Linked DNA regions of Arabidopsis thaliana. The protein of the gene in region 1 interacts with the protein of each later gene in a pairwise test. Each region holds a gene or a part of one and is shown on either strand. Other genes may lie near its edges. The genes, in order: AMT2, AT1G31990, ATBET12 and PFA-DSP5.

Region 1 (8,709 bases):
GCCATTGTTACCTCATCGGGTTCTTTCCGGAGCTTTGACTTAATAAACCTTAAAAGGTGTTTCTGGTTCATGCAAGCTGAATGATGCACATGAGTGTCGACTTTCCTAACGTTATAAAAATCACGATGTGGTGCACTTTTTTGAGCAAGAAATTCTTTATCCGCATTAAGCATCAAATGGAGATTAAATTTCTGAAACAAAAAATAGACATACTGTTAACAAGACGAAACTTGCTTATTGACATTCATTCTTCTCTAAATAAAACTCTTGCCTGTTCTAGGAGCACTAGTCGACGGTGGCACAAAGTCCGGATGTTTCCTGCAGCTATGACTTTGAGTACGTGATGCAAGTCAGTGAAAAACGCTGTGGCATCAGCTACCGGGAAGAGATCTTCTTTTGCTGGGAATTATGAAACAGAAGAAGGGTCAGTTATTCGAAAAGCAAAAGAATGCAACCAAATCAACTATTATGAGTAAAGGAAAAAGAAGCATTAGAATTTTAATACTAGGACTCTTACCATCTTTATTTGCAAACACGTGGACAACCCCATCTTGCATCTCAAAACAATGCTGTAAAAACAAAGATTGGGAAGTTTAATTCATCAATGCATGGTGTTTGATGACATATATAAGGAGTATAGACTCACATCAGATTTTCCCTGAGGATAGTGTGCAAATGGCTCTGTATTAGGCTTTGGAGTACTAGGATCAGATATGACTTCTTTTTCCCATGGTGCAACTGTTTCTTGGAAGACATACCTCTTCCGCAGTTCAAGACATTCTTGCAGACATTTATAGGCTTCAACTTCATCGGACGTTGGCACCTCTAAACAGATCATGAGTAAAATATGAATAAGATATGTGTTGACGTCTTAACCGTTTCAAGCTATAATTCTTAAACTATAATCTAAGAATTTCAATGGCTCAGCTCCCACACTGAGTAAAGCCTTAACTGACCCTTGCTTCTCTTACTCAAGACTACTTATTTAATTGTCCGTAACTCCACTTAATTACTTGCCACTAGCAAAAAACTTTTCAAGTAGTGGGACTTATAAAACAAACATGTCATGATTTGTAACAATAGGAAAAGAGTACTAAGCATACAGGAACCAGAAGTAAGGCAAGATGACAGAACGAAACAAAAAGTGACCATTCTTACCAAGAGGAACATTAAGACGGACAAAGGTCTCTTGCTCTGGCTCCTTACGAAGAATGTCAGCAGCAATAGGATCAGGCTGAACTCCATGTAAGTCACCAGACACACTATGGGATCGAATCATACTTGAAGCAGCCATAGATATTTGTTCTTCATTAGCATCTGCAGGCTGCAAAAAACATCTTACTTGTAAACCCACCTATTCAATCACAGAACAGGGATTGAAAAAGTAATGATAAATAAAGAAACTCACCATCTCATTGTCACCATTAGCTTGCAAGTAGGAAGCATCTAAACCCTCACTATTAGTCAAATTATCATCATCATCTGATTCTTCCACACTCTCAAAAGCACTAGCACTAGCAACAGGGGATTTCGGAGATATTGGTCTAACAAAGCTTCCAGTTTTCCTGATACTACTAGCTCCATGTACAGAAGCTCTCCCTGAAAAAAAGCAATCACAAACTATCTATCAGCATCATCAAAGGATTAAAGGATCAATTTTTATAATCCACAATCTAATCTGATCAATTCAGGTTTGGTTCTCATACCTTCAGATGGCGTATGAAGCCTAGGGAGACCAGGAGGAATTTCATCGACATAAACGTGACCGTTGCTCCGTCCTGTATCACCGCCGCCGCCGCCGCCACCATCGGTAAAAGGAGTGGCATCTGGAAGAGAAGCAGGACTGCGACCATATTGGTCATTAACCTTCCTTCTAACTTGGCTCCGCCGCCTCACCAAGGTCGGATTTTGAGGCTCGTCTCCATCAGGGTTCTCTTTACGCTCCTTACCACGCTCAAGGACTAGATTCAGTGCCTTGAAATGCATGAAAAACCCAGAAACAGCAACGAAGGAAGCTCCGAATAGAGCCGCGAGGGCAAGTTGGTAAATATTGGGTTCCATGAGTGACACAATCAAAATCTCTGTGTGTGTGCTCAGGTCAGAACTCAGAAGAGAGAGTAAGACCACGATTTCGTTTTAGTGGCGATGGTGGGAGGTCGAGGTTGAGTTGTTATTTATAGGCCCAACGAGTGAAACCACGCCACTTGCAAAAAGGCTGGGTCTTTGATAAAAGTTGAAACCTTTATGGCTAAAAACTAAAAGTGCTGATAATTATAGGGGCAGAGTTTTATAGACAAATAATTTCTTCATTAGTGTTCAATTATTTCAGACACCAATTTTTGTTTTTATCTGTCCAATTTTTTTATTTTATTTTATGTTTGCTTTTATACGTGAAAGTGAAAACTCTTCATATTTTTTAGTTTGTTCAAATAAAAAATCATTTTCATAAATATTGTACAAAATATAAAACGGAAGAAAGTTCTTCATTAAACATTAACACATCAAAATCCCTAAGAAATAAGGGAATTAAGGTTAACACTATCATTTTAAGAAAACTAGGTGTTGGGCCTTTGGCACTAAATATCAAGAGAACTATGGGTCTAATGTTAGCTCGAGTCCAGATTACATGGTCTCAGTCTCATGCTTTTCTTTTTTATTTGTGGCCCAAGGAAAAAGTGATTAAGGAAATTACTTATTAGCCAAATGACTTGAGGAAATTACTTTAACTGAATTTAAAATGGTTACAAGGTACATTTGTTCACGAACTCTATGTTTTCATTTCAACAAAATCACAAATGGTTGTTAACTCCAAATACACACCAAAAAATATGAAAAGTGAAGTTTTACCACCTATACAGAACACAAATAACTCATTCACATCTCTAATGTCATAAGGAAATCAATACACAAAAAATAAATAAGAAAAAGAAGAAGAAAAATCATAGAACAATGGTGACACCTCTAGCACCATGAACATAAGAAGGATGAGCAGCTTCTTGATCTCTCTCAAACTGTTGCACATGCCTTGTAGCATCAAACTTCTCTCCATCTCCCCAAAGAGCATAAGCTTCTTCCCCATGTGCTGCGTCGTCTCCAATCCCGAGCTCTTCCTCAGCCATTCTCAATGGTATGAACACCCTAATAGCGAGTAGAATGATAGTAGTCGACACCACATTCCAGACGGCAATGAAGGCAGCTCCAGCCAACTGTTTCAAAAGCTGTTTGCCGCCATTGCCACCGTAGAAAGCTCCTCTGGTCGCTGGGAGAGGAAGTACCAAAACGCAGAGATCAGGGTGTGCAAACAACCCTGTCATTATTCCACCAAGTAAACCAGCCACGGCGTGTGTGTAAAACACCGCTAATGTATCATCCACCTGTTTATTTCAACCCAATCAAAATATTACAGTTCAAATCATTCGTTTGTTATTACTAATACCTTAATTCTACAATTGAAACATTTTCGTTTTTCTAATAAGGTAAAACATTTTTTTTTTTTTTTTGTTGGTTATGAAATTAAAATGGGATTTATGATCTAAATTACCTTTTGAAGGAGAGCGGATTTCTTGTGAATGATCATCATAGAGGCCCATGGAGCTGTTCCTGAGACTACTCCAATTATTATAGCTGCCCATGTTTGGATCAAACCTGCAATAGATATCTTATTTGTCAGTATAATAAATTAACAATGCAATATTAATAAGTTTCCACATAATTCAACCTTAATCATAAATAAACTTAGAGACTTAGAGTAAACAAAAAACTTGAAAAGAAGATGACTGAAACCTGCTCCGGGAGTGACGCCGGCTAAGCCAGTAACCATGCCTTGAATTGCTCCGATGACAGAAGGTTTGCCAAAGAAGATGACATCAAGTGTAGTCCATACAAGGAGGCTTGTGGCGGCCGAGAGGTTGGTGTTTAACACGGCGATAGAGGAGGTTAAGTTGGCCGCGTAAGGAGCACCACCGTTAAAACCGGACCATCCCATCCATAAAAGTCCAGCTCCAGCAAGCATTAGAAGAACATTGTTCGGTGGGAATCTCTCTCTGTCAGCCTTAGGCCTTGGTCCTACCTATAATAACATCATGTCAGAAAATCGTATTTCTCAACTAGCTAGTGTTTGCTTTTTAACTAACCATTTAATTTCATTTTCTTTTGCATGATTTTATATATTTACTATGTGGAATATTATGTCGTCGTCAGTGGAATTGACTTGACTTTTACCATTTTGCTTATGTGCGACAAAATGCAGAATACAAGAAAAACAAATTAATTAGTGTATACATATCTATAAGATATAAAATGCAAAAATGGAATCAACCTCAATTATTTTGTGAATTTACTATTAGGCAAAAATAGATATTTCAGTTGAGTGTGATCAATATTGGAGCGTTACTTTATTCGATTACTCTCCTCTAACTAAATTATCTAATTTGCTAATACAATATAGATCAAGATCGTGTTGTCAAATCCAAAATTGATTTGATTTAATTAATCTTAGTACTTGGAAATTAGTAACCTTTTGTTAGTGGACCAAACAATCATAGAACTTACTACTTATCTATAAACTATGGACCTTAAATACGTAATCATACCGAAAGAGAAAGCAAAACAAAACTTGGCAATTAAAGACCAGTCTACATCGAATTATTTCTTAAGAATTTTTTTTGAGACTATGTCATCTACCGACTACCGTACATTAATTAATTCCAATATTTTCAACAAACAAACATCTTCTTCAATCTTTCATTATATTTCTAGTAATAATACCCAAATATCAAACAATAGCCTGAGAATTTAATAGTTTCCCTAACTAAATAAACTAACCTCTAACAAACTAAAGAAACTCTGAACTTGAATATTTTATGTAATAAACGTACCCAGTAAGCAGCGACGAAACCGGCAACACCGGAGGAGAGATGAATAACATAACCGCCGGAATAATCAATAACTCCCCACTGATACAGAAACCCACCTCCCCATATACTATAAGCTCCAACTGTGTAGCTAAAGATCAACCACAATGGCACAAAAGCCATCCATGCTTTAATATTCATCCTCCCCAACACAGATCCCGCCACAAGTATCGTCGTTATCGCCGCGAATGTGAACTGAAAATACACCAACGTCGCCATCGGAAAATACGGCGCCGCCACATTACTATTTGGGATCTGTAAGAAAAAAATATCAAATCAAATTCTCATTCAGGCATTTTATCGAACACTTTGTGTGCATAACCAAATTCAAGACCTTTGCTTGTCCCTTAAGGTATCCTTGGTCGAAAGCTGGACCACCTTTGCCCCAAAACGGCAAAAGCTCTTCTCCAAAAGCCATTTTGTAACAGAGGAGAACCCAACAGAGAAGAACGGCGGCGAAAGCGTAAAGAGCCATAAAAGCTGAATTCACAGCCCATTTCTTCTTGACGATGGAGGCATAGAGGATAACAAGACCTGGCATACTCTGTAGACCAACCAGAGTCGCTGCCGTGAGCTGCCACGCGTTGTCTCCTTTGTTGAGCCATTCAGGAACCTCCGGCAAGCTTGGATCGTAAGCTCCGGCCATTTTGTTATTCTATCTTTCCCGGAGTTGATGAAATTTTTGTTGGGTTTGTGATGTTTATAGTCAATGGTACGAATTTTTTTTGTGTAGGTGTGAAAGCCTTTAATTATAATAATGTGTGTAGAATAGACAAGACACAAGTTGGGTTTGGTGTTTTGTTTGCACATTTTGATGGAGAAAAGTCTTCGAGGTTTGATAGATATGTTTCTCATTCTTCAATTCTAGTCTTGATATTTCAATGAAGCTTCTTAAATTCTTTGTGTAAATTACTAGGAGAAAGAATATAAACATATAAAAACAATATAGGAGACAAATTTGGTATACAAAAAAAAAAAACAAATTGGGATAAGATATGGACCTTGGTTTTTATTTATCTTATAAGTCATTGCAAATTTAATATTTTTTGAATGAGTTAAATTTAATATCTTATAAGGAAATCGATCCGTGTATTGCGAAGACTAATTTGGCAAAAAGATTACCTACTTCAACTGAAGATATTTAGTCTTAAAAATCATTAAAAGTAAATAAAGAGGGACATTAGAGGTACATATAAAGGGATACAACATTAAACGTTATGTTTACACCCCTTTTTAACCACTAGGATACTTTCACTTCATGCATCTTATTTTTAGCCCCAAAAAACACTTATATAGTTTCAGAAATTAGTTTAGATTCTGAGGTGGATAAGTTAATTCTCCAGTAGCAAAATAAAACTGATCGTGCGGCCATGTTTGATAATGAAGTCTGAAGAAGTTGACCAGGTACACACACGCATCGAATGTTTAAGAAGCAAAGATTCCATTTGTTTGTCTAAATATCGAAACAGTATCAGTGTATCCAATCAAACTAACGGAGATCCTAAGTTTCTTGTTTTTTCTTTTTGGAAAATCAAAATTGATACTTGGTCGAACGTAGTATTTGGCACGTCGAATCAAAATTATACAACAGTCTCAACTCTCAACGTTACTATTAACGACGTCATTATCGTATTGACGTATAGGTGCCACCATATTATACAATAAATTATTAGAGATTCAATAAGATTCATGTTCTTAGAATCGACTGATTGAACGAAAATTTTACCGGGAAAATTTTACACAGTTGAAATAAGTTCCCTATCAAATACTATTAAACATTAATTTTTGGTTTGCAACTAATCACATCCTTATACAATAAACATTTCACGAGATAAAATTTTATATAGAATAATGAACTCAAAAGATTTGATGATTTGTGAACTTTTTCTATGTTTTTTTTTGTATTATGATCTTTAACCTCTTTAATATTTACAAAGAACGAGGTGTGTCTTGTTGTTTAAGTATTAATCTTGTTCACATATAGTAAAAACCTCAAAAATAATTGGCTTCGGATTTGCATAGTGTAAAATTGTTTCACTATGTCTCTGAAAAGGGAAAAATGAGTGAAGATGGATTTTGGAAATTATTGAAAACACTACTATTAACTATAACATGTTTTGGAACTACAAAATTGTCCATGTACTGTTCGGATAAATACGAAACCAAAATTTTTGTACTATTTACGTAAAAGTCTCATCTACAAATGAATGAAGCTCACCAGCAGAGATACTCTAATCGATGTAAATTTGTTGTTATATGTATATGTAATTTTCATATAGTATATTGCTATGAGAAGACAAAAGATCGAATCATTATGATGTGGCTAGTAATATTTGTTTATATATGTGATGATACAAATTGGCGGTATCAAACAAACTCAAGACCGTTAATATAATCAAACATTTTTGTTTCCTTTCTAATAATAAAGAAAATACATGATTAATGATAAACAACAACGACACTGAATATTAAGATATCGGTAAGTACCTCAAGATCTCACTTAGAATTTGTCTCATTCTTAAATATAATTCATAGAGTCAGATCCAGAGTACTCTCCTGACCAATCTTAACCGTCCGATCCTCTTCATCTTTCATCAGTCGGCTCTTTTTCCACGAAGACGACCCTGGACATAGCGACAAGGACAACGTTTGATCCGTTGTTGTTGCTGCTGTTTCTGTCTCTTCCAAAATTGTCTTCTCCGGTTGTCTTAGCTTAAGAGATAGATCAAGATCAATGCTCCTACTTGCGTCTCTTTTGCCATTTGTCTTGCTACAATAAGAATGATTAGTGTTCTCCTCAACACCGTTATGGAACTTTTGAAAAGTTCTTGAGTGTCCTTGAATGCTGTTGAATGTGACTGAATTGGTCCGTTCGTGATGATCGTGTCGTAGTTTCGGAAAGTGATTAGAAATTGAAGAAGAGTAGATGTTTTGGAAAGACTTGTTGTTAGTCCAATAATCACTACCACGGATGTTATTGCTAACCGACGCGTTGCGGATTAAACCGGGCCTAATTTGGTCTATCAAACTCCTTTCTGTTCCTTGAGAGCTAGAGTTCCACAAAGAAGCATTTGAAATTTTACTTCCATATCTACCAAAAACAAAAGAAGACAATTAATTTAGTTTCCGAATAAATATAATTAAAACGGAATATCATTCAAATTAAGGAACACATAAAATCTAAAATTTTCAAAAAAAAAAGTTATATCAACCTGAATGGAGAATCATGGTTATGATTATAGCCTCGGAACATCGGTAGCTGACTTAGTTTATAAATATTTCGATCTGTGGAAGTCTCGAAGAGATGTTTGTGACCAGCTATAGCTGCCAACAATTCAAACCCCACTTTATTGGCCTATACATGTATAACTTGATAACTAACTAATGAACACAAATAGAAAGAATCAATACCTTGACCTTGATCATCTATCTTCTTGCTTCTGTACATCTAAAATTTTCCAATACACAATTTAGTGATTTCTTTTTTTTTCTAATTTCAGAGATTATTTGAAACGAAATCGAAAATACAACACATATATAGGTACGTTTTAGATGTATGTAGATCAAATACCTGTAGATGGCTCTTGACATGAGCAATACTAAGCCCTTTGATGTTCATCATCTGACGAACCAACTTTGGAGTTGCTCCTATACATAACCAAACATACACATTAAAAAAAAGAAAATCACATGAGGTTTTGACCAAATAGTTAACCTAAGAATAACTAAGAAATTGCTTATGCTTTTATATATATGTGGAGGAGGTGATGAAAGATGAAGTTAGTAGCTATGGACG
Region 2 (6,958 bases), on another chromosome or scaffold:
TTATTCTATGTATTCTCTTCTAATCTAGTACTCCAGTCATATTATGATAGACTCATGGCTGCATATTAGATTGACATCATTTGAATAAAAAATGTATAACTAACTACTTATTCTCAAAAGTTTTCATATCAAAGAGAAAAAAGAAAGCAAAAATTAAAGAGTCCTTTAAGAAAACACTTTTAGATATCTTTTTTTGCATTTGTATATAGCCATATTGGAAATAGTATCGTGTATTAAATTCATTGGTAAATCTAACGTCTCAAAACACCATTACTTGAAAAAACGTGCACGTCATTGTTAATATTACCAATTTATCATAAGGCACAAAAAAGTCATATCATGTAGACAAAAAAATGTTATAATAAGAAAATACTAAATTAAAATTATCAAACTAAGAAATGCGAAGTATCAAACAGTTAAGCTGCAATAAAAGAAAAACTTCTAGTTATTATCGAATAATGACTATTTAAAAATAGCAAAATAAAAAAGTAGAATGAAAGTAGTGTGATACATTAACATGATTTTGTATTTTTCTTTTATTCTGAAGATATTTAGTTAAGAGTGGGATTGATGGATGATTTAATGCAATGTGAGACTGTTTATTTTTAATCACTAAGTTTTATTAATTTTTAATTGTATTAATTTAAAATGACATGTGGTACTCACTGGTGTGATGATGTGTTACTTATACGGAGAGAGTTGGTCAATTTTCATATATATGATTTTAAGAAAAACAAAGTCATATCTCACTAAATTGTTAGGTTCCATATATGGATAAGTTTATACGATTATAAATTTATGATTATCTATTAATTTATCGATTTTTGTCATTTTTAGAAAACTTTCTTTATAGAGGTTATTAATTTATAGAATATTTACTATAGTATGAAGATCTTTAGTCTTAATAGTATATACTGGTCTGCAGTGGTAAATAGTGAATTAAGTACGTAATCCGATTTTATTCTGATCCGCAACATACTACACAACCATTCAAAGCCATAATCAACACAATAATAGTCAATTCAAGGGAGATGAAACTATAAGTTTTTCTTTTAAATGTTTCAATCTTTTATCAACTCATTTTCACAAAAATTATATATAGTTCTTTCCCCATATGAGATATTTACAATATCTATGACTTTGCCGCATTTTATTATAGTTTGCAAATTTTGAATACCGAACAAAAACCAGATCGAAATTGGCCAAAATTATTATCCAATTAAATATCAATAGTTTAATTGATAAAATATCTAAATTGTTGGTTCAAATAACAATTAAAAAGAAACAATCTAAATCGTTGTTTCGAATTATCGACAAACTTTGATCTCACAGGTTCCATAAAGCATGTTTGCTTTTGACCCAAAGCTCTCAAAGACTTCTTGTTGATTAACCTTATGTATTTTTCTATCCTTCTTATTGTAGCTTTGGGGTCAATTTCTTGTTGATTAACCTTATGTATTTTTCTATCCTTCTTATTGTAGCTTTGGGGTCTGTCCCTTATTGTTGTACTTCAATCTATGGGATCTTATCATCCTATTATCTTTGTATTTGGGTGTTAACCTAATGGAATGAAAACAACTTTTTGCCCAAGAAAAAATATATATATATATTTTGGTCTTTGTTCTGATAGGATGTACAGATCTATATTGAAGACCTCTTTATAATTCTACAAAAAATAACAAAACAAAACAAAATTATTAATTAGTATTGTAGATGTAAAATATAATTACATAGCGAAACGACTTTAGAGGGCCAGTAATATATTGACAATGTAAAAAAAAAATCAATAGATTTATAATACTTTTGTCTTCATGCGAGGGTCTTTTTTTTTGTTTTAACATCTTGCTTTACTTCACTAAAATTGAAACAGAGATTACATAATTATTCCTCAGACATTACACATACAACCAAGAAATGATTAAAATTTAAGAAGAAAATACAATCGAACAAGTGAATTAAACGCTACTTTCTTTGATAAGCCTTACACGCTAATAAATTATCAAATCCACTATCTTCCTTATTCGTCTTCTTCCTTAATCCTACATGATCGTTGTGTTTGGCTATCATCATTTTGACGAAACTCCAATAAACTTTAAAACGATTATTGGTTGCGATCCATCTGTTACATCGCATCCCATTAAAACATCTCCAACTAGAGGAGATGACATCTTTCTTGGTTATAGCCAATGCTGATAACTTTTGAAATGGTGAGTACCATCTTCTAAATCTCGTTCCATGTAGACATCCCCAAAGGCTGAAGTTAATGACTGATGACTCCCCAACTTCCTTGATCGATAATGATATCCAAGGCAAAAATTTGTCGAGGTATATTCGTAGAATCAAAGACAACATGATCTCTCTCCACCATATCCTTATGGATTGTCTCGAACCGGTGCTATGAAACAGTGTCTGTATGAAACACTTCTTCAAGTCGCCTTCATTGTCAATCTGAGCCCCAATGATACCAGGATCAAATATCCAAATTACATCTCCGTACCATTTGGCGGAGGAAAATGACAACTGCCGAGAACGCCACTTCATTTGTGGACCAATGATCACTAATTGGTTACAAGAAGAAGATGGAACGCAATCGGAGACGGAACGCCGACAATAACACAGTAGTGGACGTCGGAAAAACGCTCTACAAGAGAGATAGATGGCTACGAGGAGCCAACAAAATCGCATAATTATGGAAGAGAGAGTAGTATTTGTAGCAAGGCGGAGTGTTTTTCGACGGTTGCGATACCGACGAGGCATTTGGTCCATCTTCAAGGGATGTGCCTTTCCAACATGACTCTGTGAAATCGAAACCAAATTTATATGGTGGTGGGTAGAATGACTCAATAACGAGTCAGGGAAATAGATTTGAGACAGGCACCGTGGATTTAAGTGTAGGTGAAACCCATCTCTTCTCATCATCAATCTCGAGACCCCCATCATTAATTTGGACTGAAGAAGATGTTTGAATAAATAAACTGCAAACAAAAGAGAAAGGACGTATGGCCGACGCCGGAGACGACGCCGGCCAGAAAGTAATTAACGAAAGGGTGCTTTGTTGGGTAATCGCCTTCTTTGTCGTTCAGAGAGAAGAAGCGGTTTACAGAAGCATGCACCAGATACTTATTGCCGAGAGCAGCGATTGTATTACAATTTGGCGTAAACCAACGTATAAATATTGTTAGTTGGGTCATTCTTAATTAGAGTAATTTATGAGTTGTGTCTTTCTTTCATAGTATATTATTCGTCAGTTGAATCATTTTATAAATCTAATTTATAAGTTGGGTTAGTTTTAACAAACAAAATTTGATTCGTTTTTTTCTTTTTTTTTTTTGTTTGCATCAAAGTTAAACTAACACAATTTGTAAGTTGGTTCCCTCAGACAATGTATCGAGTGAAGCAGAAAAATAACTTTGGTTAGACGTTACTCTTCTTTTGGCACCAACCTGGTAAGAGTATGTAAGCAAATACACTACCATTCTGTCAAGGTTAAGAATTTTTGGCAGAAAAGATTTTTGTGGTAAACCACTCTCCACTTCCCTAGAAGCAAATAGTGGATAGCAACTATTGGAAGTGATATTTTGCTTGTCAATGATACCGCTAGGCATGAATAAAAAAACTAAAACCAAAAAACCAAACTAAAATGAACCGAAAAAGAGAAATCTAATCAAACTTGATTGACAAAATATCAAAACAGATTTTAGAACCAGAACCGAACACGGCCCAAAATACGATAAATATTATTATATATCCAAAATATCAATTATAATTGCAATTGATATAACCCAATTAACCAAAATTTTAAATGAAAACCTAAAGATATCAATTATTTTAGACTAAAATAGTCAAAATACTCAAAATATCCCCAAGCTTTTAGTTATATCGTCAAAACATTAACCAGATTTTCTTCAAATTTAACCATTTAAAAAAAAAAAGAATCACTATTTTGGATACCCAAAAGGAAAAAACTAAACTGAAAATATCTAAAAGCAAACTAAAATTCTAAAATATACTGATGCATCCTAAACTCATTTACCCACAATATTCAGAATCAAATGGATCTATCCGGAATTGAATAGATATCCAAACGTTTAGGACTAGATACTAGACATCGCCTTATCAAGATATTTTCTAAACACGACGGGGAAGCATCTTTCCGTCCCGAAGAGTGGCCATCTCAGATTTGAAAGATAGCCGGCGTATGGATGCAAACCGCTTTTGATAGCATACACGTGAGCAGATTGAGAGGAAGAGAGTTCGCCGGATGCCAACTTCGATCTCTGTCATAACTTTCTGAAGCTTTCAAGAAGGAAAAGGCGAAAGAGGGAAATGTTTGATGAATATGAAAATTAAAGTGAAGATAAAAAGAAAAAACAAAAGTTTGTAAAGTGAACAAATAGGAGGAGAGAAATTCTGACGCCGGCGAGCCCAAGCTCCACCAGCGTTGGAGAAAACTATTAGGATTATTGCCTCAATATTAGTGCTAGAGAGAGTTTTTCTTTTTAGTTATAAAAGAGACTTTTTAAAAAAATCAACACAATTTAATTTATTTAAAAATTTAAAATCATGCATGAATTTTTTCTTATATAAAAATTTGACATGTTTTAACTTATTAATTAAATAATTCTAATTTAATTAGGTACAAAGTATATTAAACTCAAATATAAATAAACTTATTTAAATTTAGTTGTATAAGTCGTATAAATTTATGTATAAACATAAAAGCAATGAAATTTTAAAGAAATAAATTAAAGTATAAAACTTCAATAATATGACAAGAATTTATTTCATGTTTTCATATTTTAATATATATATATATATATATGATTAGTGACAATGAATATTAGTGAATTTAATATTTAATTATACTAAATCAATACTACGTTTTTGTTTGTTTAAAAATACTTTAAACGTAACAATTTTTTTAAAAATGTAAGTAATTGTAAATAAGTTTTAAACAATGTAACTGAAAAATTTAGAATGAATCGTTTACTCGAGAGTTAAAAAAATACATTAAAATGATAATTAGAAAAAGCACCAAAAATATTATTTATCAAATAAAATCAATTGGTGTAAATTGTTTATAACTAACATTTTATGGATGAATGAATCATTTACTCAAGATTTAGAGAAATGCATCAATATGATAGTTAGCAAAAAAAAATTAAAAATATTATTTATCAAATTAATTCAATCGATGTAAACTGTTATATTCATATATTAATAAATATCAAAATTAGAAAGTTATACTTTATTATTTATTGAGGTTATACTTTATATTAAATGGAGAAACCAGCATTTGAAAAGTCAATTACAGTTTTTAATACTTTTGTCTCCCGGCGAGGCTGAGTTAAAAAAGTCGACAGTCTTTCGAGAGTAAACCAACCTATGGCTATGGGTCTTTTTTCATTGTAATAATTTGTAAGTCGGGTCATTTTTAATAAAAATAATTTGTGAGTTGGGTCTTTCTATATAGAATATTATATTATAGAAAGAATAAAAAAAAAATTATTCGTGGTCATTCTATATAGAGTATTATTTGTAAGTTGGATTATTTTAAATAAACATAATTTGGAAGTTGGGTCATTTTCATAAATATAATTAACAAAAATAATAATAAATAAATATAAATTATAAGTTTGGTTTGGTTGTGGAATGACCGTTCCTTGGGAAGGGAAGCTGCTTCGACGCCTTGTTTGGGAATCATCCGGACGAAGCAACGTCAAACATCGCGGTATTATTGGCAAACTATCATTTCCAATAGTTGCTCTCCACTCTTTGTGTTGAGGGAAGTGGAGAGTGGAATTCCACAACAATGTGATTAATGAAAACCGGGAGGAAATGTTAGCATATATGGGCGTACAAGGCACACCTTACCAGCTTGACGCCAAAATAAGAGTAACAGTTTGCCAAAGGGATTTTGTTGATCCACTCGATATGTTTTCGGAGTGAACCAACGCACGCTCCCTACTTATCCCAACTTATCTATGTAACTCACAGAGTCATATTAGTAAATCGGAAGAGATGGTCCGTATCTATTTGTGGCACATATAAAAGTAAGAAAATTAGCATGAATGAAAAATAATAATAAAGCGAGTACGTGTCTTGCTTCCTTATACCGTGATGAGTTCATATTTTGGATACTAATTAGGGATCGACACCTGGTTGGGATGCGTTCGAATTCTTGTTCGAATTCTCTCAGTACTACCGATTCGTATTCGAAGATTAATATAGAGGATCCAGCAGATGATTCTAAAGGATATCGGCTGAAGTACACCGGTTCGAATCAGACTATTTATCTTAATGATATTATTGGCAAGAATTCTGGTGTTGCAGATTCTGGAATTTTTTCATGGAGGAGTACAATAAGTATTTATATAAATATATATATAAATTATATCAAGATACAATGTAATAGTGATCATTTAGGGATAGTTCAATCTGATGGATCTATATTATATTATTATACTATTGATGCAACAATGAAAGAAGGAGGAGGCCTTACACTTAAAGGAATTAGGCATGGAGCTGAGCGTACTAAAGATAAAGATGAAGAAGGAGAGGGCGCAACCCAAAAGTACAGGGAAGACTGATTTAGTCATATGACTAAGTCTCGTTTTCCCTTTTATTTCTGTTTTCTTTTGCAAATAATACAGTGGCTTTATGTTCCTATCTCTGAGGGCTAAACCCACGTTTCCTTCTCTGCTTTGTGTTTCGAAGTGTGTAGGAGTTGAGACTCCATTGTGTATTGAAAATAAAACATTGAATAAAGAATTATTTTGTTTGCCTATTGGAAGATTTTTTCTTGTGAATTTCTATTGTAAGGTAGATATCACTTGAAAAACGCAAAAAATAAATTTGTTTTGCTTTCAAAGTTTTAAACAATTTTGACAAGCCATTGTCCATTGAATCCGCTCGGAATAAGACAAATGACATTTGAAATTGGAGTTGCATTTGCTAG
Region 3 (7,838 bases), on another chromosome or scaffold:
ATTAGTATAAGGCTGAGCTGGAAACTGCATCCTTGGTTGAGGCATCATTGGCATCCTAGGTTGCACATGTAGCTGAGGGTTAGGCTTGTAAGTATATCCTGTATTGCCTGTCTTCATACCCGGTGGATAACCATGGACTTTATAACATTTTTGAATTGTATGTCCCACTTTCCCACAGTGAGTACATATCGGCTTCTGATTAGGTCTAACTGTGTTATATGCTGCAACATAAGCATTTTCATCTTCATTTATCATAGAAGTGTTTTGAAAAGCAACACTATCAACACGAGTAAGTGGCTTGACATTCCTTTGTCTCTCATCTTGAGTTACCATATTGAACGCTTCTTTAATAGTAGGTATAGGTTTAAGCATCAAAATATGACGTCTTGTTTGATCAAATCCTTCATTCAATTCCTTAAGAAACTTAGTCACTCTACTTCTCTGTTGTAAATGTTCCCATTTAACTGCAGCATCACACTCACAACGACCACATGTACAAACTGGGAGCTCAACATAATTTCTGTGTTCTTCCCACAGAGTTAACAAAGCTGTATAGTATGTTGAAATATCCATAGATCCCTGCTCTATTTTACTTAACTTCTGTTCTATATCAAAGATCCTTGGTGCATCATCTTGCTTGAATCTTGATAACAGATTGTTCCAAATTCCTTGAACAGTAGCTATGTAAAGTAAACTCTGACCTATCTTCTTATCAACAGAGTTCATCAACCAAGTACTAACAATATCATTACACCTAGACCAAGCACCAAAATCTCTATGATCCTCAGGTGGTTTAGTAATCGTACCGTTTATAAATCCCAATTTGTTTCTGACATTCAAAGCCATCAAGATCGATCGACGCCATGAATGAAAATCTGAAGCTGTCGTAAGTCGATCTGACACAAGAATCAATCCAGCGTGATCTGCACTATGAAGATAGTACGGATTCTCATATTGATCTACTGGATATCGAATTTGATCACCATTGTTGATCGGAGGACGAGTCACCGGATTCGCAGGTGGAGGTACATAAGATCCCATTCTCAGAGTAAGAATGAAAAATTACAAAGAAAGCGAGACGAATTTGATGTATAGAAAACGAGATTCGCTCACGCTAAAGGTCAATTGAAGGAAGTAAAAGAAACAGAATGAAAAATACTCCGGTGAATCGGAAAAATAACGAATGGCATAAGCGAACGAAAGAATCAAAAGAAGAAATCGAAAATGAAACTCTCTCCCGATGAACACAACAAACGCGGAATCAATATATTGTGCTCTGATACCATGATAAAATCCGATACATCGGAGATTCAAGATCGGAGAAGAGAGACGAAGAAGAAGATAACAACTTTTCTTATTCAGCTTAAAGTGTTGTTACAACCAACTTAACTAACAAAGTAATCGAGATTAAACTTATATACATAAGATTATTGTGGTTAGTAAACCACATTCAACCAAACCAGTGATAACCGAAGTTAACCAGTCCTATATCCTTAATACTCCTCGCACATGCCTATATACGGCATGTATGTAGGTTCAATATGCAAGTTGATGTTCTTGAGTTCCTTGTCGATCGTGTTTTTAGCAATCATACCTCGCATTCTAGAAGCAATGTGCTTTTGACGGATATGACCCGTGTCATAACTCTGTTATGGCCCAATAGCTTCTGAGAGGTGTCACTTCTGCTAAGAGAGCATGCTTAGCATAGCCATGGTGGGCGTGCTCCAATGTATGTGCATGTACATTTAATTTTTTAGTCAGCTCCTTGTAAATATTCAATTAACTACGACGATAATTTGTGAGCTAGAGCAACCAAAGCTCGAATGAAGAGTTAATTGAAGAAAGCAAGTCATTTCCCGCAGCATCATGAATCTTTTTCTCTTAGTAATTAGGGTGGTAGGACATGTCGTATACTAGTCTTTCTAAAGGCTGAGTATTTCGTCGGCTTTCTTAGAAACGATTTCGATTGTACATTGTATATATGTCACGATTAGGTTGATGGATTCACTACCAACAGTATATTAGATAACCATGTAGCTTACTATTTTTTGAATGATCTATATATCTAACTTCTTCAAATAATTACACATATTTTTCATGTGAATCCAAAACACTTTTGTTTATAATCTAGCACCCTGTTTAATATATGTAGCATAACATCTGTTGTTGTGTTATAATATATTTATTTTACAAAAATCACATTCATATTTACTAACATGGTATTTTAGCATATACTAAAAGATCAGAAGAAATTGAAAAACTACTCCCGATTTAATAAGGTAACATTTTTTTTTTTTTACTTTTTTTCTATATATTGTGCCAGAACTCAAATGTTATCCTCTAGTAGCTATATTAAAACTCATGGTTATTTGACTATTTATCTAAACAGTAGTTTCAAGAAATTTACTATTTAGCATAGCAACCTGTTATTCACTCGTAAATTCAACATTTAAGACTATAGTTTACATAATTGTTAAGATGATTTGACCTAGAAACCGAACCATTTGGAAATGTACATGTCAACTTGTTGTCTATTACCAAACCAAAAATGAACTTGTCGATTATTGTCAACTTGTTACCTAAAGTGGAAAAAAAATCAAACTCTTCTGCATAGTAGTGTCCTGTCAACTTGTGGAATTGTTGCGAGTCGTTCAAAAATGATATTTCTCATGTTGTTACGTATTTGGATCTTTAGCAAAATGTCAATATACAGGACGGTATTTGCGCCTTAAAATTCTGAAAATTGGAAATTTTTGGAAACAAGACGCCAAGTTATCTTGTTTTTATTACAAAGTGCTAAACTTTTTTTCACAGAAAGCTAATAATTAAGCTTATCAATCAATCAATTAAGCTTTTTGTAGACAAAACTGCTAACATGAACCCAAGATCAAATAGTTGACAAATGATAAAGAAGCTTTTGCTACATTACATGAAATGACATGAGATGATTTTGCTTGTGACAAACAAGTCTCTATCAAACATTTTTTCTTTCGGTTGGTTCACTAGTCTCTTCACAATCTCTTTCTTTGTCTTGTTTCAATAGGGTTTCAATAGGGTTTCAATAGGGTCCCTTGACTTGTTTACTATGTCTGAATCATTCATTCATCAGGAGAAATCCAAAAATGGAAGTCCCAAACGAAACTATTCATTTAACACTCTACTTTCTTCTTGTATCCAAATTTACCCTTTGATGTAGTTTAATAGCCTGCAAAATCCGAAAGATTGTCAGTGTTCGAGTCAAAGAACAAGGACTTGAACCAGTCCCTAAGAAAAGTCAAGTGTTTTGATAACTATAAGAAGAAGTGTATTTTACCTAATAAGGTAATACATGATCAAGAACAGGAGCACAAAATAAGCTATGAGTTTGCAACTTTTTCGATTAGACTTCTTCTCAAAGACCTGTCGTGTTAAAATCGAGTTTTATTCAGATATAAGTTTTGATAGCGAAAAACAAAAGGGGTGATGCATATATAAAAGGTACGAAATCTTATTTACATACCAACTTGAAGCGGTTGATCGTTCCCGACATTATCCCCCTCGCGGAGTCCATTTTGTTCCCCTAGAGATACAACAACAAATAGCTTAGAAGAAAAGCATGTGATAGAGATCTACAAACTGAAACAGATGAAATCAAACTTTCAGCTTACCACTTTGTCAAGCAAGCGGTTATGATTCTCAACTTCTTCATGTATGTCTCCAGTCACCTGATAAGATATTATTACCAACTTACATCTCAGGCAAGCGTTATTGCAAACTAGATTTGACAAGAGTGAAAACAAAAAAGGCATTGTTTTCATAACTAGACTTTTCTAAGGCATTACATCATAGCTCGATCCTTGTCGTTGAGTCCGAAAGACTTATACAGGGTCTAGTGATAGCAATGCTGGAGAGAATGTTCTTAATCTACAATTTCAATACATATCTAGGAACTAAAAACTAAGTTCAATTTCTTTATATCTAGACTTTTCGAAAGCATTAGATCATCGTTCGATGCTCGAAAGATACATTTAGGGTCTCGACTTAGCAGTGCTTAAGGGACTGTTCTTTCTCAAACAATAAGGATCAGTAGCACCATCCATTTCACAATAAAGAATCACAATTCTTAATCCTAATGTTTATGCTTGTGTTGATATTTTGATTCTTTAGTTATATAGATGAAAGAAACATACTCTCTTGAGAAACGAAACTCTGTCCTGAAGATTTTCCAAAGCTTCATCATTATCACGTTCGTCATGAGCATACGAAGAAGAAGCTCTCAAGCGACCTTCTTCAAGTCCATCAAGGCCATCAAAGAGAGACGTTCTCGAAGCACGATTCTCCCTACAGAAATCAAAACCATTGGTTCTTAATCAGATCCAATTTTCTCCAATTCTAGTTGGATACACTCAATTCAAAATCTGGAAAACTGTAATTAGAACTCTAGAATTAGGTCAATGACTCAGAATCAGGAATTCGAATGTCGGTGATTCAAAAAACTAAGATTTCAGAAAGAGTGAATCTGGAGATTGTGAAGAGATCTAGATCAAATTCGATCGAGAGCAGAATCAATATCATTTGTTAAACATTGATGAATCTACATAAAAACAGGATTCGAATGCAGAGGAAGAGATCAATAGATCAAACCTTCGAAAGTTCATTTGATTCGTCTTCGATTCTACTCTCTTACGAAGGATTCAACATAACAGACGAATTTAGAGCATTGTAAAGGAAATTCTCGATTTGGATTCAATTCCAGAAGCGTAAGTTTTCGTGTTTTGTTTGCGAGAAACGTACGAAAGTTCTTACTGTACTACAAGTCCCTAGAAGAAGAAGAAGAAAATAGAATTAAATTGAATTGGGCTTACTGGGCTTTAGTTCGGCCCATATTGAATCCATGAAGTTAGTTTTTTTATTTGTTAAAAGTGAACACTTTGAAGAAATGAACTTTAAAGAAAAGTCCAACCCTAGATGTATGATGGGTTAATTTGACAATTTATTTAAAGAATTCATGCAACTATTTTCTCCATGTTTTTCCCATAATTTTGTTTCATGTGTTTTATGCATTTTTTTTTACCCATTTAGAACTTGAATTAATACTTTGTTAGTGAATAATATTATCTCTTAGAGGATAAAACTGATACAAAAACGTGAAAAATAGTTAACCGCGTGTAATATCACAGGAACAAAATTCACACGGGGCTGGTAGCTGAGTCATCAAATCTACAAAATTTTGATGAACCGTTCTAAACCTGGATGAACGGTGGGACAAACGTTGTTGGCTCGTAGCAGAACGGCGACGCGGGATGTTGCCATTTCTTGAAAACTGGTGTCTTCTTCACCTCTTCTTCCACTGGTATCTCAGTCTTGTTCTGCGGCGGAGGAACATGTGATTGGTCGAAGGATGATGTTAGAGAAGGAGCGAGCGGTGAAAGGAGAGGGATCGCCACGTTCCAGTTACTAAAAGACGTTGGTTTGATCATTAAAGACGGAGCTCGTCTCTGTAGCTGGCTAAGTTGCCTCTCGTTACTGGCCGCGGAGCTGCTTGTTCTTTGCATCGTGGACGCCATGGAGATAGATTTGTGAATTGTAGGATAATTGAGTACTTTTGTATCAAAGAACATAATAATGATGTTGGTGTGTGATGTCTGATGTTTATGTAGATGACATATATAATAAGGTGAGGAGGGCCACGACTTGTAACATGTTGACTAGGTACATTACATACACGCTTGGATATGGTCATTGGTCAGAGTTGGAGAAAGAAAATTAGCTGCTTTATCTTCCCTTTTCCCGTTTCTTTACATTTTTGTTTTGGCAATACTCTTTGACCAATTCTTTTTGAATTTTCCATGCTTGTTTTTATGTTAAAGTTCTTTTTAATATTAAATTACAAAGACATCGATCTTGTTAATGGAAGTCAAACATGTTCATGAAATGTTAAATGGTGGATGAGGTTTACCTATACAGATTCTCGTGAACATGTTCTATTGGACTTTTATAATATATATGGACCAGAGGTGAATATGAATATGAATATGTAAGTTGAGTCTAGTGCGGACAGAGCTTTACAATCTAAGCCACAAAACAAAAGAAAGCAAAAATCGGACCATGTCACGATGTGCTTAAATATGTGAGGTTTTTGCATTTTTCAGGCCAAGTCAAGTCAACTAGCCGCCTGATTAACTTCTACACGAACAAAAAAATGTAATCCAATGGTTTGTGTTAGTGTTGTCAGTGTGTCATCACCCTTATGGCCTTATTCAAACCCGCATATTGCATGTTGCTAACCAAAATATAAATAGTAAGAAAGTTAACATGATCTTGTAATATATGAGTATACTGATTTGTATTATAAGTCCCATCGTGGTGTCATTAATCGAACACAGAGCCGTCTCTAGTATTTAATAGATTGCAAGCAAAGAACAAAATTTAGACCTATTTTAATGAGTGAAAATGAAAAAATAACAAGGTAAATGAAGGTAGATGGACTCAAACTTTTGACGACCATAGGTATCTAAGAATCAAATAATCAACGTTTTTACTGAAAGTTATAAAAAAATTAGGTCAATATTTTATTTGTAGTAATTGAGGCCGCAAGCATAAATTTGGTCCTATTGCGTTCATGGACGGCTCTGATCGGACATAAATACGGTATAAAATTTTTTAAAAATAAAAGTCAATAAACAAGATAAATCTTAGTATTTATTCGGTATAAAATAAAAATCTTTGCATATTAAATAAATATTTGAATATGTATTTGAATTATAGGATCTTGTAAAATAATGATTGTTATATGTCTAGTTAACAGTTTTATCGGTTAGACCGGCTGGTCAAGTATGGATCTAAAGACACTGTTCTTTTCTATGTAGCTTGTGTATTTAATAAATTAAAGAGTTGGCGGACTAATATTAACCTAACTAATGTTGTTTGCACAACTTAAAGAGTTAGTGAACTAATTTAACTACTCATGTCGGTCTCTTATGGAATGTGTCCATGAGTAATGCTAAAGCAGAGATCTCAATCAATCATGCTTCAAAAATAAAGTTCATAGATTCAAAAGCCATGACAAGATATCTAAAAAATCATACGAACAGTTGTAAGTGTGTAAGCACTAAAAAAAGGTTGTTAATATTAATCAAGTGGAGACAAGGAAACCAAAATTGATTTAGCCAATAGCTGCGAAAGAACAAAATGGTAATTACGTCCAAGGACAAACAGTTACAATTATCATTTTCAGCAAGAAAGTCACACATTCATTCATACACATTTGTCTCGTCTGCATTTAATAACATTGACACCAAAATGGTTGGGAAGATTACCCAATTTAAAGACTTCGGTGGCAAAGCACGTCTAATAAATATACAGTTGGGTTCCCTTCTATTAATTACTCAACACTCACTTCTATATCACAGTTTTCTACTAACTCTTTCCTTATTCTTGTACCATCCTAAATCAGTAAGTCCTTAACGTACGCACCATGTGTACGTTAGAGAAGCGCGGCGATCTCTTTCTCCTAACCCTAACCGGCGAAGACGAGCACAGATTCCACCCCGACACGATCGCCTCTGTTCTCTCGCTTCTTGAACAAGCAAAGTCTCAATCCACAAAAGGATCCGTCCTCATCACTACCGGTCACGGAAAGTTCTTCTCCAATGGCTTTGACCTCGCGTGGGCTCAATCCGCTGGACACGGTGCTATAAAACGGATGCACCAAATGGTCAAATCCTTTAAACCGGTGTTAGCCGCCCTCCTCGATCTTCCAATGCCGACGATCGCCGCCTTGAACGGCCACGCGGCAGCCTCGGGGCTGATGTTTGCGCTGAGCCACGACTACGTTTTCATGAGGAAAGACCGTGGGG
Region 4 (7,502 bases), on another chromosome or scaffold:
AACCTTGCGAATTTCTCATTTCTCGTAGCCGCCGCAGCAATCAACGATGACAGGCAAAGCAAAGCCAAAGAAGCACACAGCGAAGGAGCTCCAAGCTAAAGCCGATGCAGCGTTGACCAATCGCGGTGGAGGAAAGGCAGGGCTCGCCGATAGAACCGGTAAGGAGAAAGGTGGTCACGCAAAGTACGAGTGTCCTCACTGCAAGATCACTGTACCGGATCTAAAGACGATGCAGATCCATCATGAATCGAAGCATCCAAAGCTGACTTATGAAGAGCCGAGGAATCTTCATGAGGCTTTAGCTGCTCCTGCTGAATCATCTAAGCCTAAGCCTGGAATCAGAGGAAGCCTTAAGAAGTGAAGTGAAGATGGTTTGGGATTGTATCGAATTTCGATTTGAAATTTGTGGTCTTTTTAATGGTGTTTTGATGTGAGAATATAAACTTGCGTTGATGATGCTCTATGTCTTCGTATTTTTATGTTATGATCATATAAAAAAGTAACTGATATTTTCTTATTAAATGGTTTGTTTCTAACTTATTGGTTTCTTTTGATTCTTGTTTCTGGATAATTTTGGTTGTTCTGGATCATGTCAAGCTGCTCGTAAAATCAGCATCTTTGTTTTTGATCAGACATGTTAGCTCATTAAGACAATACAAGGTAGTCTTTTTGGTGATTCTGATGAAGAGTTTTGGTTTTGTTCTTTGAGTCATATGATTGTTCGGGAACTTTACAGGCTTCTGTTAAATCTCTGTCTCTGATTAGGCATGTTTGGTAAGCGTATCTTTTGTTTGAAGCCGTGGGGATTTGAGGAAGAGTGAAAGTTTCTGCAACTCATGTTATAACCACACAAGAGATTATGTACTTTGATTTGGTTGTCTGAAAAGCTTAGAGAAACATGTCGTGTATTCATTGCATAAACTGGCTTTTGTACTTTGAAAGAGTGAAAGTTTCTGCAACTCATCAAACAAGAGATTATGTACTTTGATTTGGTTGTCTGAAAAGCTTAGATGTCGTGTATTCATTGCATAAACTGGCTTTTGCTTTTTAATCTTTCAAGCCTTCAAAGCATCTGGACAAGTTATATTCAGTTTTGTTCCTTTTCTCGTTTTAAAAAGAAAGATTCTAATTCTAATTCCCATTGTCCTTGTTCAGTCAGCTTCATGGTGCACATGTGGTTTTTTCGAATCCAAATCAAAATTAAAATGGACTCGAGTGCAGATTATTTTATCTATGACAACTTGAGTAATCAGAATCAATACTTCATAGCTTTTCGTGTTTGGTTTTGTTAGTGGTTGGAATAAATGTAGTTGAACATCATGTATTTTGATACATATAATTGTGTGTTGTTCAAGAAAATGATAAATATGATTGTCTAAACTCAATTGCTATACTTTGCGTAGGGATTGGTATACATTTCCTTTCCTTAGACTAGTTACGACGAATCATTCTGATTTGATGATGTTTAATTGTTTATAGACGTCGACCTATTATAAGTTTTTAACAAAGGCAGAGGCCCAAAAATCGACTACGTAACATTGACTTGGATATATGGTTTATGGCCCACGAATGAAATAAGCTTAAACAAAGCCCACGGAAAGAAGAAAAGAATTGAATTCAATTGCCTTTACTCAATCATAAATAGGAAAACAAAAGCTCACATCACACATGTTAGTTTCTTATGAACAATTAAGAATCAATCTGTAAATTTCTCTAACCGTAAAAAAAAGATAGAGAGAGACCAAATCAAATCCTCTGTTTTCTCAAGCTTTTTAAAGAACTATCCTATTCTCAAAAAAATCATCATCATCATCACGACAAAATGTAAAGAAACAAAAAAAAATCCGATTTCAAATCTCTTTCTTTATCCTTTGGTGGCTTGAGGTTTTTGCTGTTCTTGAACAACATTCTCTTCTTGATACAGCAACTTTCTTCTCTTGAGACCATACCCATTGTACTGATATATGATGCTGTATAGACATTGCTTCAATCTGAGCACATCGAAATCCTCAATGAACCTTAAATCTCTTTGTCTCCATTTCAAACCCGCACACTTCTGGTATTCCTCGAGAACCGATGACAAGCACCAGTTCTGCACTTTCCTCAAGCATCCCACAAGACAACCTGTCCTATGCTGCAATGAGCCAGAAGAAACGCACCATTGGACTCAAATCACTCTTAACTTAACCTAAAGCTTGTTAAACCGGAAGAGAAGGGTTTGGTTTGGTTACCTTTCCGCGCTTACAGTGGATAAGAATTGGATGATTTCGAACATCTGTTAGCAAAAACAGAAGAATTAATGAGACAGCTAAAAGAGAAAAGCCGACAACACATCAAAGAGTCTCTTCTGGTTCCTTACCAACTAGTACTCTAAGAGCACTCAACACTGTATCCTTTGGCATAGGAGTTGGAGGATCCTATTGGCGTAAAAGTAAAACAATCCAAACTCAGAAATCAAAGAAGCTATAACAGGAACAGAACAGGGTATTTATATGTTTCTTAAAGGTCTTATAAGATTCATCAACTCAAATGCTACAAGCCAACAAGACACTAAAAACAGGGTCAAATGTTCTTGAAGAAGAACTCAAAAAGATTCAATACAATTGCTGTTGTTGAATGAATCATAAAGGTTAGAAAATCATACCGTTTTGCCTTCAATCCCGAACTGGAAAAGCTTAATGTTGTTGGATGCAAGAGACTTGAGATTGTCCTCAGGGTATGGCTCAGGACACAGATAACTGTTTCCAGACAAACCCAACAAACAAAACTCGTTTTTGTAATCAAATCTTTCTGCGTGGGTCAAATTTCAACAACACAAATATATAATTATCCCACATTTTTTTGACATTTAACTAATAAAAGCCATGAAAGTGAAAGTGGTGATTTAAGGAATCTGTCTATCTATAAACAACGACAACGATGCGTTATTAAATAAAAGATTCTTCTTCTTTTTTTAATTTTTAACAAAAGATTCAGAAGAATGAAAGAAGAGAATCTTACATGATGGATCGAAGATTTAGGGTTGATAAGAATCCGAAATTCTCCAGCTCAGGAAACCCAGATCGGTAAATTTCATCTTCTACCATTGAAAAATTCGGCGGCGGAATCAAAACTTCTCCATCGTTATCATCATCCACAATTAAGCCCATCGACGTTTCTATCTCCCTCCTTCTCTCAATTGGGAGACAGAAAGCTACGAGCACCAAAGAGAGACAGAGAGGGAGAGAGAGCAAAATCCCCAAAATCTAGAGAGAGATAGAGATTCGTTGAACAAAAAGAAAAAAAAAAACCTTTAAATGATTAATGGGATAATCATCAAGTGGGGTTTAATTATTTTTTAAAAAGAGACAAAAAGATGACGAAGATTAAGGAGTTTTTTTGTTAAGAGATTTTTTCGGATTTGGAAAAAAATTGTTAAACCTTTGAAAAACCGCCATTAGAGATTGTTCTTGTTGGATCCTCTTCAGGTTTTTAAGGGAATGTTTTGTTTTCGCTGTAATCTCTCACCAGATTATGACACGTTGTTACATCCTTCAACTTTTCGTTGAACCGATTGGGAAATTTCCTATTTTGACTTAAAGAGTCAATTTTTAGAATTTTCTATTAATAGATCAAAGATTCGTTATGATGACCCCACAATATGATTCAACTGTTTCTAAAAGTTAATTTGGATTAACGTATATCAATATTCTTTTCTTTTCTTTTTTTTTTTTTTTTTTTTTTTTTTACTTCATTTATAAAACGATATCGAATACACAGTACTTCTAAAACGAGTAACACCTACGAAACAACAAAGAAAAGTAAAACAGAGCACATGATCAAATAAAGAGACCGAACCAAGTGGCGAGGTACGATAAACCATTGGGGCCAATACGTTGAGCTCGTGAGAGAGGATCAAGATGAGTGCGAATAAGATTCTTTATCTCCATAATCAGTCCAGCAGCAGGTCTCGAAGAAGAAGTGTGCAGACGAGTGTTCCGTTCCCTCCAAAGAGTATAAACCGTAGCTTGGTGGGCTATCCTAAGAATCGTAGTCACATTTTTGTCCCGACTAGGATTCTTAAGCCATCTAACCCCATCCTCAAACAATGGAGGAGGAGAAACATGGGCCCGAGAAGTGAAGTGATTTCAGATTTCTCCTGCAAACACACAGTCAAAGAAGAGATGCTGTCTCGTCTCATCAAAAGCATTGCAAAGGAGGCAGAGAGATGGAACATGAAGTCCCCAGCTTAGAAGTTTGTCACGAGTAGGCAGCCTGTGTCTGATATTTACCCAAGAGATGAAAGCATGCTTGGGAATCCTGCCTTTAAACCAAATTGCCTTATGCCAATCAACCTTTTCCCCAACAGGATTTAAGTGGATCCACGTTGCAGCAGAGGAGAAACCAACAGAAGCCTCACTTCCCCCAACCTTCCACATGAACAGATCATCTTCAGCATCCACTTGAAGGTTCACCACACTAGAAAGAGGGAGACAGTTCTTTAACAGCTGAATAATTGGGTTCCTGCTCCTAGACCCATTTATCCACCAAACCCCATCTCTTAAAGCATCTGCAACTGAAGCATTCCTAGGTAAACCAGAAACTCTAGGTCCCAAGTCACCTGTTAAATGAATAAGCGGTCCCAAATTAGTCCAATTCTCACTCCAAAAATTACAAGTGATCCCCGAACCGACTTTGCAAACCACAAACTCCCGAGCCATTGGACGAAGCTTGCAAATACTCTTCCAAATCCAGCTCCCCGAGTTAATATTCACCATATCCCAGAAGTTCTACTCCCCGAGTTAATATTCACCAGCTCCCCGAGTATATCAATATTCATTTTGTTGATAATGTATGGTACTAATATCATATCTTATGATTAACATACAAAATATTTACATAACGATTATATTTACCGCATAACATAGTTTATATCATAGATCAGATTCACCATATATATATCAATATGTCTAGATTCTTAAACAAAACATCAAATAAAATAAAAATAGAGGGAGTGGATTATAAAGTTGGATGAAGATGAGGGTTAATTTCTTTTTTTGAAGCAGCGGCTGCAAGCAACTCCGGCGGTATGAGATCTTCCCATCCTTTACCAGGACCTGTAGCCGCGGTTAGACCGCTTTCCCAACCGATGTGCGATACATGTTTTACGTTCGTTGGAACTCCTATCTCCATTCCTGATGTTTCGACTTCTTCCTTCTCTTCATCTTTGTCAGCTATAACATTTTTGGAAGAAAAGATAGTACCAACTTATAAATGTTAAAGAGTGAGGACACATGTACTAGGATCTATATGAACCAAAAACATGTAAAAGTGGTTCTAGCAAATGTTAAAATTTGCCAATACGTTTAAATGGTATAATTTCGTAACATACATTAGAGTACAATATTACCAAAGAGTTGAGAAATGGTCTTGAAGCTCTTGAAAATCCGGTTAATACCGATAGAAATCTCCGGTTTAGAAACCGCAAGGAACTTGAATACATTCTTCATGTTATCTTCCTCCTCTTGTTCACGAATCACTTTTGAAAACACATCAAGGTATATATCACAATAGAAGATACATGAGATATTAATTCAATATATATATACATGATATTTAAAAAGAGAGAGGGAATGAACCTTGACGAGAGTGATGATGATGAGGCTTAGAGAGAGGAGACAAAACGGCAACACTTGAGACGGAGATACATCCGATGGAGAAAGGAAGCACCACAAGTCTCTCCATTCTATCTCTCATTTTCTACCAAGCCTTTCCTTTTAAAATACTTCTATTTATATATAAGAGTATGTGTGTATATGTATATATACGATGAAAATGACAACCCACCAAATGTTTTGATGTAATTTGTTGTTGTTTTGTTTGTAATCTTTGTTGGAATATAATTTGGTTGTGGTCGTGAATTATGTGTTTAGCTGACTTTGTTGTGAAGTTACAATGATGTTTACGTGTGTATATGAAGTTGCGGTAGAATAGAAAGTGATAGCTTTCATTTTATATTTTGGGCTCAACTACTGTTTGGTAGACTGTTTTCTTTGTGACGTATAATTTGCACTATATATATATATATATATATTTGATATCAAAAATGTTATAATATGGATAATTAGATATTGATATTTGTATATTGCTATCAATATACTGTATAGAGTATAGGAATTGAGTTTTGTGACTGGCTTAGATTTCGTTTGTTATTACACCAAATGCATATTATATGTGAGTTGTACTAAAAAAACAAAAAAAACTTTTAACATGTCAATTATAGCAGTCGAAAAAGATTATGTCAATCAATATTTTGTAAATTAGTTACGTACTTCATAGTTAAAGTTTAACTCTACTTCTGTGGACTGTGTATTAGTTTTAGTATATGGAGAACAGTTTAATATTCGATGGAGTTCATAATGAATACTCAAAGACTCTATAATGTATGTATAATGATGGCTTAAATGATTAAAATGTACATTAGTTGTTACATCCCCTTGGAATCAAAGCAATCTATATTAATTTTTCTGAACGTCTTCTTTTGCAAAATTTAATCATCAAATGGTTATGATGGCAAGGCCATCTTTTTTCCCCCTCTTCTTTTCTATTTTTTAGTCGTTGCTTGTTCAACCATTTGATACTGTTGTTACTTGTTAGTGGTATTTATCATGAAATCATGGATGAATACATTTTTTTATTTGTTAATTCATGAAACATATAGTTTTTGCAAACTATTAAAAAAGGCTTTGAAAACAAAACGTAAATATTAAGCAAAAAGTGAACCCTAATAAATTTAACTCAAACCCCCCCCCCCCCCCCCCCAAAACGTAAATCTCTCGATTAGATTTTCACCAAACACTTCGTCTTTTCCATTCGATTTAACATTAATGACTGACTTGAAACAATCATGCCAATGTTTTTGAACAAAAAAGATATATAGTTTACGACTTTATATTATTCGGTACGTAATTAGTCAAAAATTAAAGTTTAATTTAAAAATACAATCTTTTTCTTCTTCTTTTATAATACGAGTATTTTTGCAAGAACTAGTCATATGTAAACTAACTTTTAAATGGAAAATACTGTGGAAACACATGGTTGGATAATATACTGTAAACATTTTCTTCCTAATACTGTATACGGTATTAAAGATATATACATAATTTTTTTTGTTTAAGTTTCATATTTTCTCAAAAGAAATGTGATATGTATATTAGACTTATATGACAAATTGGTTTGTTCCAAAACGAAAAGTTGCAACATTTTTTTCCTCGTTGCAAAAGATTAATCATGGTCAGAAGAAATATGTTCTTCTTCCTTTGCTTCGATCCTATGCAAAGACGACTCACCACTTTCGCCGGCATCATCATCTGAATAAACACTTTGGTCTTCAGATTTCGAGCTATGAATGTGCTCAAGCCGAGTTTGATGATTCTCCTCCTCCTCTTCCTCATCATCATCATGAGAAAGACTATTGATTCGCATGCTAGTGTTCCTTGGCGAATCATCGTGATCACTATAGC

Evidence for each region.
Region 2: the proteins of AMT2 (region 1) and AT1G31990 interact in a protein complementation assay, tested with the Arabidopsis thaliana proteins (one large-scale study listed by BioGRID).
Region 3: the proteins of AMT2 (region 1) and ATBET12 interact in a protein complementation assay, tested with the Arabidopsis thaliana proteins (one large-scale study listed by BioGRID).
Region 4: the proteins of AMT2 (region 1) and PFA-DSP5 interact in a protein complementation assay, tested with the Arabidopsis thaliana proteins (one large-scale study listed by BioGRID).

The regions. Positions count from the first base shown.
Region 1 is NC_003071.7:16,036,733-16,045,441, forward strand, and holds AMT2 (ammonium transporter 2), read right to left. Parts: upstream 5,790-8,709; 5' UTR 5,560-5,789; coding exon 5,248-5,559; exon of another isoform or gene 5,169-5,247; coding exon 4,878-5,168; intron 4,070-4,877; coding exon 3,784-4,069; intron 3,646-3,783; coding exon 3,542-3,645; intron 3,375-3,541; coding exon 2,940-3,374; 3' UTR 2,698-2,939; downstream 1-2,697. Other genes in the region: FAC1 (AMP deaminase, putative / myoadenylate deaminase), read right to left, coding at 12-191, 272-399, 518-569, 647-825, 1,159-1,324, 1,409-1,599, 1,707-2,061; AT2G38300 (myb-like HTH transcriptional regulator family protein), read right to left, coding at 7,443-8,004, 8,126-8,237, 8,325-8,361, 8,485-8,561. UniProt on the Arabidopsis thaliana protein: High affinity ammonium transporter that may play an important role in moving ammonium between the apoplast and symplast of cells throughout the plant. Does not transport methylammonium.
Region 2 is NC_003070.9:11,484,187-11,491,144, reverse strand, and holds AT1G31990 (uncharacterized protein), read right to left. Parts: upstream 3,144-6,958; 5' UTR 2,941-3,143; coding exon 1,963-2,940; 3' UTR 1,827-1,962; downstream 1-1,826.
Region 3 is NC_003075.7:8,307,281-8,315,118, reverse strand, and holds ATBET12 (Target SNARE coiled-coil domain protein), read right to left. Parts: upstream 4,801-7,838; 5' UTR 4,638-4,800; coding exon 4,624-4,637; intron 4,321-4,623; coding exon 4,170-4,320; intron 3,705-4,169; coding exon 3,648-3,704; intron 3,560-3,647; coding exon 3,500-3,559; intron 3,400-3,499; coding exon 3,314-3,399; intron 3,206-3,313; coding exon 3,181-3,205; 3' UTR 2,735-3,180; downstream 1-2,734. Other genes in the region: AT4G14450 (uncharacterized protein), read right to left, coding at 5,223-5,600; HCD1 (3-hydroxyacyl-CoA dehydratase 1), read left to right, coding at 7,457-7,838. UniProt on the Arabidopsis thaliana protein: Required for vesicular transport from the ER to the Golgi complex. Functions as a SNARE associated with ER-derived vesicles.
Region 4 is NC_003076.8:5,379,470-5,386,971, forward strand, and holds PFA-DSP5 (Phosphotyrosine protein phosphatases superfamily protein), read right to left. Parts: upstream 3,471-7,502; 5' UTR 3,150-3,470; coding exon 3,001-3,149; intron 2,739-3,000; coding exon 2,645-2,738; intron 2,418-2,644; coding exon 2,360-2,417; intron 2,276-2,359; coding exon 2,232-2,275; intron 2,135-2,231; coding exon 1,865-2,134; 3' UTR 1,600-1,864; downstream 1-1,599. Other genes in the region: AT5G16470 (zinc finger (C2H2 type) family protein), read left to right, coding at 47-361; AT5G16486 (RNA-directed DNA polymerase (reverse transcriptase)-related family protein), read right to left, coding at 4,128-4,757; RIC4 (ROP-interactive CRIB motif-containing protein 4), read right to left, coding at 4,999-5,213, 5,390-5,518, 5,619-5,736; AT5G16500 (Protein kinase superfamily protein), read right to left, coding at 7,264-7,502. UniProt on the Arabidopsis thaliana protein: Cleaves the beta-phosphate at the 5-position of soluble inositol pyrophosphates. Has highest activity on 5-diphosphoinositol 1,2,3,4,6-pentakisphosphate (5-InsP(7)). Possesses low phosphotyrosine phosphatase activity in vitro.